2 linked regions of the Macaca mulatta genome follow. The protein of the gene in region 1 purifies or fractionates together with the protein of each later gene. This does not show direct contact. Links are inferred from orthologs where the notes say so. Each region holds a gene or a part of one and is shown on either strand. Other genes may lie near its edges.

Region 1 (7,054 bases):
TGGAGATAGCTGGGCATAGAGGTACACGACTGTAGTGCCAGCTACTTAGGAGGCTGAGATGGGAGAATCACTGGAGCACAGTTTGAAGCTTCAGTGAGCTGTGATCGCACCACTGCACTCCAGCCTGGGCAAAAGAGTAAGATCCCATCTCAAAAACAAAAACAAAAAGTACCACAGAGGAATCAACTAGAGATAGCAGCTTGGCATGGTTGTGTCCATACCAAGATTTCCCCACGCAAATCTCAGCTTGAATTGTGGTTTCCATAACAATTGTAATCCCCATGTGTCATGGGAGTGGGAGAGAACTGAATCATGGGAGTGGTTTCCCTCACACTATTCTCATGACAGTAAGTTCTCATGAGATCTGATGGTTTTATAAGAGGCCCCCCACTTTGCTCAGTTCTCATTCTTCTCCCTGCTGCCATGTAAAGAAGGATGTGTTTGCTTTCCTTTCTGCCATGACTGTAAGTTTCCTGAGGACTCCCCAGCCATGCTGAACTGTGAGTCAATTAAACCTCTTTCCTTTATAAATTATCCAGTCTTGGGTATATCCTTATAGCAGCATAAGAACAGACTAATATACAGCTACACCAAGGCTAAAGGAACAAAAGGAAGTGGATGGAATTACCAGAACTTTGAGGTTTAAAGGGGAGCACCCAGAGAGCTGATCCTTGGGTCTCTGAGGAGGAGGTCCTGTTGAGCTGATACTAGTGTCTCTGAGTTTGAGGGCAGGGCAGCCCTCTGGGGTGTGATCCCTGGTCAGTTGATACTGGCATCTCTGAGGTAAGGGCACAATAAAGGTGCTTCTGCAAATTTTAGAACAACTGCAAACTAGATTCACCTACTGCTACTGCAAAAAATGGCTGCTGCCAGGGTTAAGCAGGGAGGCTGGGGTGAGGCTGACAGAATAGGAAGCAGGATGGAAGGGCCAAGTCTCTTCAAAAAGACTCACTTGAGGGGAATGGTAAGAGCTCTTTAAATAGAATCAGTTATTCACTTTCTCCCCTCTGTGTCTTTGTTTTGCTGAAATGTGCATAATACTCAACAGAAAGACTAAAATGAAAAGGAAGAACATACTAAGTACTGTTGAAGATGGAGAACCAGAACTCTCATGGGTGGCTAATGGGAATGAACACTGAATAACCCTTTGTGAAGAAGATGGTTTGGTAACACATACTAAAGCCTAACATACACTGGACCCTGTTACCCAGAGAGTGCACTCCTGCATGCACACATCTTGTATGATTCCATTTATAAAGTCTTCAGTAAGAAACGAATATGATCAATGCTCTTAGCCATCAGGAAGGTGGTTACTCTTGGGGTTGGAGAGTGAGGTAGCAGCAAGAGGGAGACTTCTGGCATGCTCCGCTTCCTTATCTGGGTGCTGCTTCCATGGGTGTAATAAATTCATAAAAATTCATCGGGTTGTACACTTTTATATATGTAGACTTTGATGTGATTATGTAATATTTTAATAACCGTTAAAGGTAACACCATTCCGCTTCTGGGCATATACCCAAAAGAGTAGAAAGCAAGAACTCAAAGAGACATTTGCACACTCATGTTCATGGCAGCATTATTCACAAAAGCCAAAAGATGGAAGCAATTCAAGTGTCCCTCAGTGGATGGATGGATAAGCAGTTTCTATATACAAATGTGGAGTTTTATTCAGCCTGAAAAAGGAAGGAAATTCAAACACATGCTACAACATGAATGAACCTTGAAGATATAATGTGAAGTAAAATAAACCAGTCTCACAAAAGGACAAATACTACATGATTCCATGAGGTGCTTAGAGTAATCAAACTCTCAGAGACACAGAGTAGAATAATGGTTGCCAGGGACCAAGGAGGGAGGAATGGGGAGTTATTGTTTGACAGATAGAGTTTCAGTTTCACATGAGTTCTGTGGATGGGTGATGGTGATAGTAGCACAAGGTGAATGTAGTTAACGTACACTTTAAAATTAGTAAATTTTATGTTATCTGTAACACAAATTAAAATTTTAATTTTTAATTTAAAAAAAAAGTGATTCTAATATATACCTTCCAAGTAAATGCATGCATCGTAATGAAGTTATTAACTTACCTCTGGAAGACATTCCAGCATGTTCACACCTCTTCTCTTATTGGGCTACTGTTAACTCTACCTTTTTAATCTTGTGTACAAGAAGTGAAAAAATCAAGAATGGACTCTCCAAGCAGTAAGAGGAGATGCATAAGACCACTTTACATGGAACCTTTCACTAACAAAATGCTTTAACATCCTCCTTCCCGTTTACACTCACTACACCCCCCTGCAAGAAAGGCAGGTCAGAGATATCTGTTACCCTCACCTTACAGCTGGAGAAACTGACTGAAAAAGAAAAAACCAAAAAATCACAGCCAACGGAAGAAACAAATTTTCTTTTACCAAATTCAAGCTGTAAGACATCCTTATGATGTCTTACGTAAGTGCATGAGTAGATTTAAAAAGCAAATTCAATTTACAAATTAGTTTTGTGCTTCTATTGCTCCCATAATAAAATGCGTAATGTTACACAGATCTTTTTTATATTTTGAAAAACAATTTCACTGTTTGACTTGAAAACAGTTTATTTAATTTATACAAATAACTACTAAATACAAAAAGTAGATTAAAACAAAATAGTTATTTTTTTCTGGCAGAGTTTAAATGCACATAATGGATAATTCTGAAGAAAATGCATTTTCCCCGTAGCGTTCAGGACTAAAATTCTACTGAAATCTTTGCTTCTAAATCAGTAATATATTCGGTGGTGTCACGTGGGTAATGGCTAAATACGTTCTGCATATGAACTGAAAAAAAGTTACAGTCTACACACATACAAATGTGAAGCACTTAAAATGTGAATTTAACTGATAATAAAAGAAAATGTCCATTTTAGAGTATAGTGTTAAAAACATTTCGGTAATAAAATCATAAGACCACATAAAAATAAGCTTTAACATATGCACGAAGCAGTTTTGTAAAAACTACCAAGTGCACAAGTAATAAATAATTTGCAAAGTTGTGTATAAACAATTCCTAATGTTCGGCATCATTGTAAACATCAGCACATGTGTAAAATGCAGCAAAGTCTGACATTACATTTTGTTTTGCCAAATTGAATTCCTATTATCCAAAGACAGACCAGTGGAGTACGCAGCCAACATTTTGGCAAGTTGGGTCTTTAAAATTAAGAGTAACAGTGCAAGTAAGGAATGCAAAGAATTCCTAGTGCAATAAAGAAGAGAAGCACAGGCAATATTGCTGATTAAAAATTCACCACCTCCTTGAGTTTCCCGTGGGGAGTGTCTAGGAGACTTGTGAAAGCTATGCAAAGCCATTGTCTTAATGCCCAGATCTCTTTTAGGATTTCTCTGTGTTCCTCCAGTCCCTACCTTTGCAACAGTGTCTGTCCAACATTAGTCTCTGCAGTGTGAACAGTTCGTGAAATGCCCAGTTCACAGTCATCGAGCGAGGTTAGGGTGGTTTTGATGTCTCCCCAACACATGGCTGGGTACGATGTCTGCCTTGTCAAAGCAGCCATTTGGGGAGGGAGACAGATGGATTCTGTTCTGGCAACCAGTCAGGCCAGCAGTAGGTCCCAGCTGGACAATGACAACAATGTCAAATCTTCCTTCTTGACACTATGAAAATGTCAACAGTCAGTTTTCAATTTGTCGAGGGAATTATCAATTTTGGTCAAAGTCTTTTTGATACGCAGTGCTGTGAGTCTTGCAGATGGATTTTGATACCAGCATTCTTTCATTAGCTTGGCCAGAGAGGTTAATGTCTGAGGAGAGAAAGAACAAACACCACAATGACAAACTGGCTTTTTAGTGGCCCTGGAAGCTGGGCTGATATCATGTCAACTGTTCTGAAGAACTCGCAGGTCTTGTGAAATTAGAGTTATGTTACTGTCATCTTCTTTAAACAAATATTCAAGCTTTAACCACTGATAAAGAGGCTACTCGTAGAGTTTCATGAACTCTGTCCTTTGGACTCTTAATGCTACCAATTTACTTTATCAGGCAAACGACATAGGCCAGATTGGACCCCTTAATGATTTTATGGGTGCTAAAGGCAGCAATACTAACCTAGAGATAATCCTGAAATTTCCAAACAGGGTCATTTCTCATTGTTTTATATCTACTACTACTTATGAGTAGCAATACAGGATCTTCAGCATTCAGCAGCTTGTGTTTGGGATTTCAGATATGCAGAGATGGAAAGGAGGTTAAAAGCTTCACTTAAAGTCTCTTGGTTTACATATGAAACTGCAGTCTTAGGGCTAGTAGCGGTAGTCATGAGTCTCCCAATTCTTGGAGCTGCCCATTCATAGAAATTCTTACAAATATTGTCATTCACTAGCAACCCCTATCAGATATGGCTTCTTCGAGAATGGGAGTATTTGTCTGAGCTTCCTCTACTAGATCTAAACCCTTCCACATAAAATAGGAAGAGAAAACAACAGATACACAGGACAGATCACTCAGATGCTATACCAGTTGAAACTCAAAAGGAAACAAATAGCAAACAATGGAAAAGAGCTCTAAAACTGAGAAACTGGCATTCTTACCGGGTCTGAGAACCATCTGTTGGGTATGTTTGGCCTTTGTTGATCCACACAGACTACTTTCCTCATATCTTCAAAACTTGGGTCATTGGGAACCACGTCGTAGAACGGTGGCTTATAATCCTCCACTATACCTGCACACAAGGACAAGAATTGTGTTGGGTTAGCAAGAGAGTACAGGATCCCCCAAGATTTCATTGATGGGTGTCACAGGTTATAATGTGACAGAAGAAAATACTAATCACCTTCCTCATACCTCAGGGCAGTCCTGGAAGCTAAAGGTAGGTCCTAAAACAGGCAGAGAAAAAGGCAATAAATATACACCCTGCAGGGTATTGGAAGAAGGATAATTGTTAGAAGGAAATACGTGAAAACTTCTCATGTAATCATAACTATTAGCAAAATTCTCCCACAGTGTATATTAACAGCCCTGTAATGCCCAACAGGGCACTGAAGACATAGAACAAAAATTCCTTTGGTGATCAGAAACACCCAAGCCACCTGGGGAAAGCACATGAATCTAGTGGCTTCCAACCATAAATAGAAATAAAAAGTTGTCCACAAACCAGAGCTAGGGAGTAATAAACCAAGACCATCATCAAAATACCCCTTTTTTGTTATAAAAATATTGTTAAGAAAAACATTGTTATACATTAATCTCTTCCATTAGGAGGGATGCAAATAATATAATAGGAAATACTCATTTCCTCATTAATTCATTCTACATGTACTGAGTACCCGCTAACTGCCAGGCACAGCTGTCTGACTGATGGTTCTATTATTTAAAATCATACTGAAGGCATAAAATAAAATGTAAAGAGGATAGCCACGTGGGAAGGCAGAGGAAAAGACGGATAAATAATGAGCTCTTCCTCTGCCCAAAAGCAAATGTGAAAAGTAGCTAATTTCAGCTTCTGCCCCTGCATGATTTCCAGTGGCCTGGAAACCTTTTCTTTTCCAGCAGAATTATATCAACTCCTTAAACAGAAAAATGTTTAACTTCATTATTTGGAATTAGAAAATGGATTCTTCCCCTTCATAGACATAAAACCAAGACATCTATTATTTCTTTTCCCTCAACAAAGGGTTCAAACAATGAGGTAATAACTTGGTTTACTGCTCTCTTTTCTTCCTCCGGGTCTTTCTTCTATTCCTAAACACCTAAAAAGTTGTTGGAGGGGACAGAAGGAGACAGTGAGGAAAGTTGTAATTCAGTTGTTCTAGTTCCTAGAAGCCACCTGAAAAGCTTCAATTCCCTTTTCATTTATCATAGAAATTACTAACAGTGGGAATCCATTCTTACAAATTCCATACAAATACAAACCATTTATGCAAAACATTAGCTATGATAAAGAGCATCTTTTCAAGAAATACTATACATCTTTTTAAAACTTCACAAATTTGGCTAAATAAAGGTTTATATTTGAGATGGAAACTAGTCTAAATTATATTTTTTAAAAATCTAGGCTGGGTGTGGTGGTTCATGCCTGTAATCTCAGCACTTAGGGAGGCCAAGGCGGGTGGACCACTTGATGTCAGGGTTCGAGACAAGCCTGGGCAACATGGCAAGACCCTGTCTCTACTAAAAGTACAAAAAGTAGCTGGGTGTAGTGGCGCATGCCTGTAGTTCCAGCTAACTCAGGAGGCTGAGGCACAAGATTCGCTTGAACCCGAGAGGTGGATGTTGCAATGAGCCAAGGTCACACCACTGCACTCCAGCCTGGGTGACAGAGTGAGATTCTGTCTCCCAAGAAAAAAAACAAAACAAAAAACTAGTTAATTCCAAATAGCTTACCCACCTTGTGTAACTGCATTTGAAATGCATATCAGTCAGTGGATTAAAACCTTCCTAGCAAATCATAAACAGGTCATATTGGGTATAAACTGCTACTCTCAGAAGTCTTGGAACACCTCATCTTAGAGGCCCTTCTTCTCCTGTAAGAATCCCAGGAAGCATTCAAACAAATATCTTTTAATTATTTTCAGTACTAACAGACACCATCTAAAATACAGCTGAACATGGACCCAGAGAGATATTTTATATGTTTTCTAGGGTCACAAGAATTTACAGAAAACAGTAACACATGTGCTCTTCACCATCTCTCAATTTTTCTGAAAGAGAGTATATTTAATAGCCTACCTTAATATTTAAATATCTAGCATAACAGCCATCTATTTGGAGTAATTTACCTGTTGAGCTTAGGAAGGGTTATGTGAATGTGAACAGTAACACAAAGTTGAAGTTTTCTATAAATGCAAAAGAAAACAAAGCATGGCTGGATTTTTAAAACATGAGATCTGGTGATACCAAACAATGAATTTCACTATACAAAGCTGAAATTTACCCTTGTGTTTCCGTTTCCCATGTTTTAATTTTATTAAATGCCCCCATGTTTTAATAAAAGGAGTCAAGTATTTTTAAAAGACCATTTAATTGATTATCCCTGGGACTTAGTCAAGCCTCTTTTTCCTCAAT
Region 2 (7,470 bases), on another chromosome or scaffold:
TGGCCTAAAGTTTATCTATCTTTTTATGATTCATATTTTATCTAAGTAAATATGTCATGTGAATTAGGTCATGGAGAGAATTTTCCTACTGCTTAAAAAATAGTTTTTAAAATTATTATTATTATTATTGTTTTTGTGAGATGGAGTTTTGCTCTTGTCACCCAGGCTGGAGTGCAGTGGTGTGATCTCGGTACACTGCAACCTCTGCTTCCCGGGTTCAAGCTATTCTCCTGCCTCAGCCTCCTGAGTAGCTGGGATTACAGGCGCCCACCACCATGCCTGGCTAACTTTTGTGTGTGTGTGTATTTTTAGTAGAGACGGGGTTTCGCCACATTGGGCAGGCTGGTCTTGAACTCCTGACCTCAGGTGATCCACCTGCCTCAGCCTCCCAAAGTGCTGGGATTACAGGCATGAGCCACCACTCCTAGCTAATTATTTATTTCTTTTTTCTTTTTCTTTTTTTTTTTATTTTTTATTTTTTCTGTGTGAAAGCATCTCACACTGTTTCCCAGGCTGGAGTGTAGTGGTGCCATCATAGCTCACTGAAGCCACAAACCGCTGGGCTCAAGCAACTCTTCGGCCTCAGCCTCCTGAGGAGGAGGGAATACAGGTGTGCCCCACCATGCCTGGCTAATTTTTTATATTTTTTTGTAGAGACAGGGTTAAGAATAAGTCATTTTTAAGTGCTAGCCTGTTACTTCTTCAGCTTTCATTTACCTCCATATAATTCTGCATTATTACCATTTAATTACCAAAGCAAGTCCTTAATTTAAAGGCCTGTAATAGGAAGCTTATCTTTAGCAAGGCTTGAGTAGCTAGTTTACTAGATAGTGAAACAATATTGCATTTCTTTTTAAATATAGAGTTATGACTTTTTAGTAAACCATATATTTTTTTACAGCTCTCTCTCCCTCTCCCCTTCTCTATCTACCCCAGGATTTAGACTAAATATGAGGAGTTTGATTCTTTCTCTAATATTCTTTACTGCAAATGTGTTTAGTTTATCCCTTGTGCTAACTGAAGACAGGGGCTGGAATTATGGATAATATACTTTTAAGAAGCTAAATAAAAGGAGTTTGATTATAGGTGCCCAGAGTTTGTTTCTCTATTCCTTCCGCAAAGTAAGACACAATTTATATTTTAAATAGCAGAACTGCTTACTCCTGCCATTGAAAAAAGACAACCTTGATTGATTAATCCATGAAGGAAGAAGTATTTTGTATTACTTCACTTTCACTAACTTAGATGTCTGGAAGCCGACATTTCAGTATCTGGGTTTTACTCATTAGCATTTACATGGAGAAAAAAACATTGTCTAGGTGGGTTTCGGTGGTTGTGTTTGGTTGGGACAAATACGTGACGTTGTTTAAGAGCTGTTTGTGCCAGAGACTATTTGTAGAAGCCTGCAGGAGCTCTGCACCCGGCCTCACCTGGGATTCTGGGGATGCTCCCACAGCCCCGAGGTAGATGGACATGACTCCTTCTCTGGGGTGCCTTTTGAGCCTCCCTCTACACTTCCCCCATCTCTTTTCCATAGTTTCTGTGAAGATGAGCTCCCATAAATGAGTGTGAAGATGTCGTGGGGTGGGGCAGGTGTGTGAGTGTGTGTTCTGGCTTATGATGCAGGCTATCTTTTGGTGGAGGTGAACAGGTTACCCATATCTGAGGACAGAGGACAGCATAGTTTAATCTCTTGGTGCTCAGCTTGGGAAATAAACACCAGAAGCAAGCTGGTAGTTTGAGAGAGGAATAGGAGCTGATCCAGACTGGGAGGGAATCATAGTACTTATGATGAGATCCAAAAGTTTGAGTGCCGTGTGCCGGCTGTCAGTATTTCATATGAGCTGACTTACTTCATGCAACAATCCTATGAAGTAGGTACCGTTATTATGCTCATTTCACAGATGAGGCAATTGAGACTGGAATAGCCAAGTGTCCGTTCAGGCTGCTGTTAACAAACTACCATACACTAGGTAATTAATAGACAATAGAAATGTATTGCTCGCAGTTCTGGAGGCCGGGAAGTCCAAGATCGAGGCATGGTAGGTTCAGTGTTTGGTGAGGGTCCGTCCCTCAAGGGTGGTGCCTTCCAGCTGCCTCCTCACACAGTGGATGGAAGGAAAAAATAAGCACTCTGGGGCCTCTTTGATAAGGGCACTAATGCCGTTCGTAAGGGTTCCACCCTCATGACGTAATCACCTCCCAGTTGCCCCACCTCCCAACACTACCACTCTGGGGATAAGTTTCAACATATGAATTTTAGGGGGACACAAACATTCTGACCATAGCAACAAGTAATTTGCTCAAGCGATGGGAAAAAACAGGAAGGACTGACATGTCCACAGACAAGCCTCCTCAGCCCTGGGGTACCCCCCTCCTGGGGGTTTTGTTGAGCTAGGGAAGGGGGCTGGAGTCTCTCTCATGTGTAGTTGTCATTACCCCCATGGATGGGGGCAGACAAGAAATTGTGGAGTTCCGAAATTTTCTAGTTGAAAGGCACCAAAGAAGTTTTCTGATTCCTTCCCTTCCCTGATGCGTGAACCTTTCTTGAATATTTCTGAGAGGTCTTCCCCACTTTGCTGGAATGCCTCTGAGTATTAGGAACTTAAGCTCTCATGAAGCAGCACTGTTCCATGTTCAGAGAGCTTGAGGTGAGGAAGTGATAGTGATAGGGAACCTTTCACTTCCCAGCTGCCCTGCAGCTCCCGTCATTCTCTGCAGTCCTCTTTCCAGCTCTCTGATCCCCTGCCCTGCTCCTGATCACAGGGACTGTGCCTTTGAGTTTGCTTCTGGCCGCCTGAGAAGTCAGAAAGGCCACCTTGCCTGGTCTTCTCCCTCTGACTTTGTGGAGTGTGAAGCCACAGTTCTCCACAGACGATGAAGTAGGAGGCCACAGGCTCTCACTTTCAGTGGGAACCAGGGACCAGTCCACACATCCACTGAATAGCTCCACTCGCCACCTGAAAGCCTTTCGAGCTCCGAGGCACACCTTTACTCTCCAAATGAATACATTTCCTCCGGAGCTGGGGCTGATGCGCCTGCCTTTTTGGGAAGAACACAAAGGAATGCAAGGCCTGGCACCTGCCTCAGTGTCCCTGGCAGGATCCTGCGACTGTGGTTGTGTTCACTGACTAAAGTACATATTCAAGTAGCTGTCGAAACTCAGGGAAGATCAATGAAGATCACATCTGCCTTTTTCAGAAATCCTTTTTTTTTGTTTCTTTGTTTTAATGGGGTCTCATTATATTGCCCAGGCTGGCCTCCAGCTCCTGGGGTCAAGTCATCCTCCTGCCTCACAGAAATCCTTCTGTTATGTTGCCTGTGGGTGAATGCGTGCATTTGTCTTCTGCCTGCAAGCGTGTCTCCCAGGAGCAATGCGAGGAGGCTCCAGGTGACTCTGTGTGGGGACTGAGCAGGATGGCATGTGATCACAAGCACGTGCATGTGTGTGTGTGGGTGTGTGTGGAGGGGTGTGTGTGTGGTTTTCTGCTGGGGTCTCTTGCTGTCCGATGGGGGAGGTCAGTGGGGAAATGGTTTCTTTCCATTTTTTGACAGCATAGAATGTTTTCCTTTAATGAACATGCTAACTAGGGAATCCACGTATCATTATTGCAACCGCTGTTTCTGCTTCTTCCTTGTTCCTCTAAAATCAGTTTTCCTCTTTCTCTTCCAGCAGATCAGCCAGTAGACATGATGAACATCAAAGCCTTTACGCTTGTCTCTGCCGTGGAGCGGGAGCTGCTGATGGGCGACAAGGAGCGCATCAACATAGAGTGTGTGGAGTGCTGCGGCAGGGACCTCTACGTGGGTACCAACGACTGCTTCGTCTACCACTTCCTGTTGGAGGAGAGGCCAGTGCCTGCCGGGCCGGCCACGTTCACTGCCACCAAACAGCTGCACAGACACCTGGGCTTCAAGAAGCCCGTGAACGAGCTGCGCGCAGCCTCAGCGCTCAACAGGCTGCTGGTGCTGTGTGACAACTCCATCAGCCTGGTCAACATGCTGAACCTCGAGCCCGTGCCCTCGGGGGCCCGCATCAAGGGGGCAGCCACGTTTGCACTGAATGAGAACCCTGTGAGCGGGGACCCATTCTGTGTAGAAGTTTGCATCATCTCTGTCAAACGCAGAACCATCCAGATGTTTCTGGTGTATGAGGACCGGGTGCAGATCGTCAAGGAGGTGTCGACCTCCGAGCAGCCCCTCGCTGTGGCTGTGGACGGCCACTTCCTGTGTCTGGCTCTGACCACTCAGTACATCATCCACAACTACAGCACGGGCGTCTCCCAGGACCTGTTTCCCTACTGCAGCGAGGAGAGGCCGCCGATCGTCAAGAGGATAGGGAGACAGGAGTTCCTGCTGGCGGGCCCCGGAGGGCTGGGTGAGGAGGATGCGTTTGTGCACCTGGTCTTTTTGGGTGGCCTCCGTGACTGCATGTTGAAACTGGAGAGTGAGATTGGCGCTGTGCAGAATAAATCCTCAGTGACATTGGGCATGTGTGGCAAGACAGAGGCAGCAGTGCTTGACCAGTGCTGAATGAAATCCAGTTCGATTGTTCTGTGAACATGGGGTTGCAGTCATAAAACCAGTTTCTTTCACACTGAAGTGGAGCTTGAAGACAGCTCTGGTGGTGTTACCAGGAAGGGCGGATATTCTCAGCCCTTAGTTATCTTGGGAGAAAGATTTTGGCCAAGAGACAATTCAGAGATAGCAGAGAGCTTTAGGAAGGGAAATAGAGAACAGAGAGTTTATATGGAGAGAGACAGTACGTTCTGAAAGATGAGGCAGAGTGGGATACTGAGAGAGTAAGCCAGCAGCCCTGAGAGTTCTGCCTCAGGTTTTTATGATGCTGGATTTTTTTCTTTAAGTTCCCACCTCTCTCTTAAGTTTCTGCCTTTTTCCTTTGTCTGCTTTTCCCGCTTCTGCCTTAAGTCCCCGCCTTTTTCTCCCACCTAATTTCTACCCTAAGCTTGTGGGGCCCTCTCTTACTATTAGTTGGTGCGCATGTACAGCCGGTGTTGGATGTGAATCCCACCGAATGGCTGCATTGCTCATTACCTCCATCCCAGGAAGGTTGTACAGCGGTTAGGTCCATACTTACTGCACCTGCATGTCTCTTTGGAATTTCTCCTTTACTCTCTTTCTCTCCTCTCTCCTCATATCTAGCATGCATTTTGTTTGTTTGTTTGTTTGTTTTGTTTTGTTTTGTGACAGAGTCTCGCTCTATTGCCCAGACTGGAGTGCAGTGGCACAGTATTGGCTCACTGCAGCCTCCGCCTCCCAGGTTCAAGCAATTCTCCCTGCCTCAGCCTCCCAAGTAGCTGAGATTTCAGGCATGCACCACCACGCCTGGCTAATTTTTGTATTTTTAGTAGAGATGGGGTTTCACCATGTTGGCCAGGTTGGTCTTGAACTCCTGACCTCAAGTGATCTGTCCACCTCGGCCTCCCAAAGTGTTGGGATTACAAGGATGAGCCACCGCGCCTGGCCAGCTTGCATCTTTTTGATGGTCTCTGGGATGTGGGATTTTCCAGACCTCCCTTTCTCAGGGCTTCTTCGCTCCTGCTTATGTCTACCTATCTACCCACTCCAACAGCGGGAAAATTCTTTTAAGTAAATAACTACAAAAATAACTTCAGGCCGGGCACGGTGGCCCACGCCTGTAATGCCAGCCCTTTGGGAGGCTGAGGCAGGCAGATCACCTGAGGTCAGGAGTTCGAGACCAGCCTGGCCGAAAGATGAAACACTATCTCTACTAAAAATACAAAAATTAGCCTGGTGCGGTGGCGAGCACCTGTAATCCCAGCTACTCAGGAGGCTGAGGCAGGAGAATCACTTGAACCCTGGGGGGGCGCAGAGGTTACGGTGAGCTGAGATCGTGCCACTGCACTCCAGCCTGGGTGACGGAGTGAGACTCTGTCTAAAAGAAATAAAATAAATAAATAATAATGAAAAGGAGTTGAAGTAGCTCACTAAGTATTTTCAATGTCAGGTACATAACATTTTCTCTTTTATGTCCTGTCATTTCATCCCACCAAAAAGTTTTTCATAGCTAGCTCCTCAAAAGGGGCTTTAGTGGTTCTTCTGTGGCCTTACCTAATTCTCCAGACAGCCTTATCAAAATTAAGAATCAGTGCTTTAACCTTAGTGATGTCTCCTGTCTTCCAGCCAGGGGTGGCTCATATTAGAATTCGTGTATATGTTCATGGTACAGGGATGCTGGCGAGAGTGCGTTCCGTTTAACACTGGTATTTTTTATCCTTGGAGAGTTTTTGTATAGACACCTCATTTCAAAGTGCTGAGTGCAAACACATTTTCTTGTGACAAACAAGAATTCCTGTCACGAACTATTTCATGTATATGTCTTGATTTTCACTTTAAAAAAATATATATATACATACTTTATTTTTTAGAGCAGTTTTAGGTTCACAGCAAAACTGAGGGGAAAGTACACAGAATTCCCATGGACCTCCTGCCCTCCCGTTATCCACATGACAGTGGTACGGGGACACGTTGTTAGCACCCGAAGCCCGTAGTTCATATTAGGGACTGTGCTCGACAAATATGTCATGACATGAATCCACCATTATAGTGTCATTCACAATCCGTTCACCACCTTGAAAGTCCTTTGTGCTCCATCTGTTCATCTCTCCCTTCCCCTAAGCCCCAGCAGCCGCTGATCTTTTTGCTGTTTCCATGGGTTTTTTCTTTTCCAGAGTGTCATCTAGTTGGGACCATACAGTATGTAGCCTTTTCAGATTGACTTCTTTCGCTTGGTCATAGGATTTTCTCTTTCCCCCCACCCTCGCCCAGGCTGGAGTAGTACAGTGGTGCAATCTCGGCTCACTACAACCTCTGCCTCCCGGGTTCAAGTGATTCTCCTGCCTTAACCTCCCAAGTAGCTGGGATTACAGGCATGTGCCACCATGCCCATCTAATTTTTGTGTTTTTAGTAGAGATGGGGTTTCACCATGTTGACCAGGCTGGTCTCAAACTCCTGACCTCAAGGGATCCACTGACCTCGGCCTCCCAAAGTGCTGGGATTACAGGTGTGAGCCACTGCGCCCAGCCGGTAATATGCATTTAAGTTTCCTCCATGTCTTTTTATGGTTTGACGCTATAGAGTCTTACGTTTTGAAGAAAAAATCTTTAGCCCAGCCACATTTGTTTTTCGAAAAATTGAGGAATTCCATACAGTGAAATTTTTTTTGTTGTAGAAAACATATATAAACTTATATAATAAAGAGAATAGCATAATGAACCAGGTAGAGACATCACCCAACATCAGGCATTCTCAGTTTATACATGTTTATTTTGAGGCAAATCCCAGACATCATAGCGTTTCATCTGTAAACATTTTAGTACATATTTCTAAGTTACCTAAGAAAACCCCAATTCCTAAAAAACCTGACAGTAATTCCTTAATATCAAATATATCTAGATGTGATATATTTGATGTGAATGCCTTCATCG

The links.
Region 2: the proteins of ACVR1 (region 1) and TGFBRAP1 purify together in Homo sapiens (co-immunoprecipitation; 3 studies listed by BioGRID and IntAct, counting the BioPlex papers as one, with this or other methods). This does not show direct contact. The link is inferred for Macaca mulatta from reciprocal best matches to the Homo sapiens genes ACVR1 and TGFBRAP1.

Annotation. Positions count from the first base shown.
Region 1 is NC_133417.1:62,607,544-62,614,597, forward strand, and holds the end of ACVR1 (activin receptor type-1 precursor), read right to left. Parts: intron 4,713-7,054; coding exon 4,582-4,712; intron 3,796-4,581; coding exon 3,661-3,795; 3' UTR 2,581-3,660; downstream 1-2,580. UniProt on the Homo sapiens protein: Bone morphogenetic protein (BMP) type I receptor that is involved in a wide variety of biological processes, including bone, heart, cartilage, nervous, and reproductive system development and regulation.
Region 2 is NC_133418.1:13,410,144-13,417,613, reverse strand, and holds part of TGFBRAP1 (transforming growth factor-beta receptor-associated protein 1), read left to right. Parts: intron 1-3,673; exon of another isoform or gene 3,674-3,676; 5' UTR 3,677-3,690; coding exon 3,691-4,378; intron 4,379-7,470. UniProt on the Homo sapiens protein: Plays a role in the TGF-beta/activin signaling pathway. It associates with inactive heteromeric TGF-beta and activin receptor complexes, mainly through the type II receptor, and is released upon activation of signaling.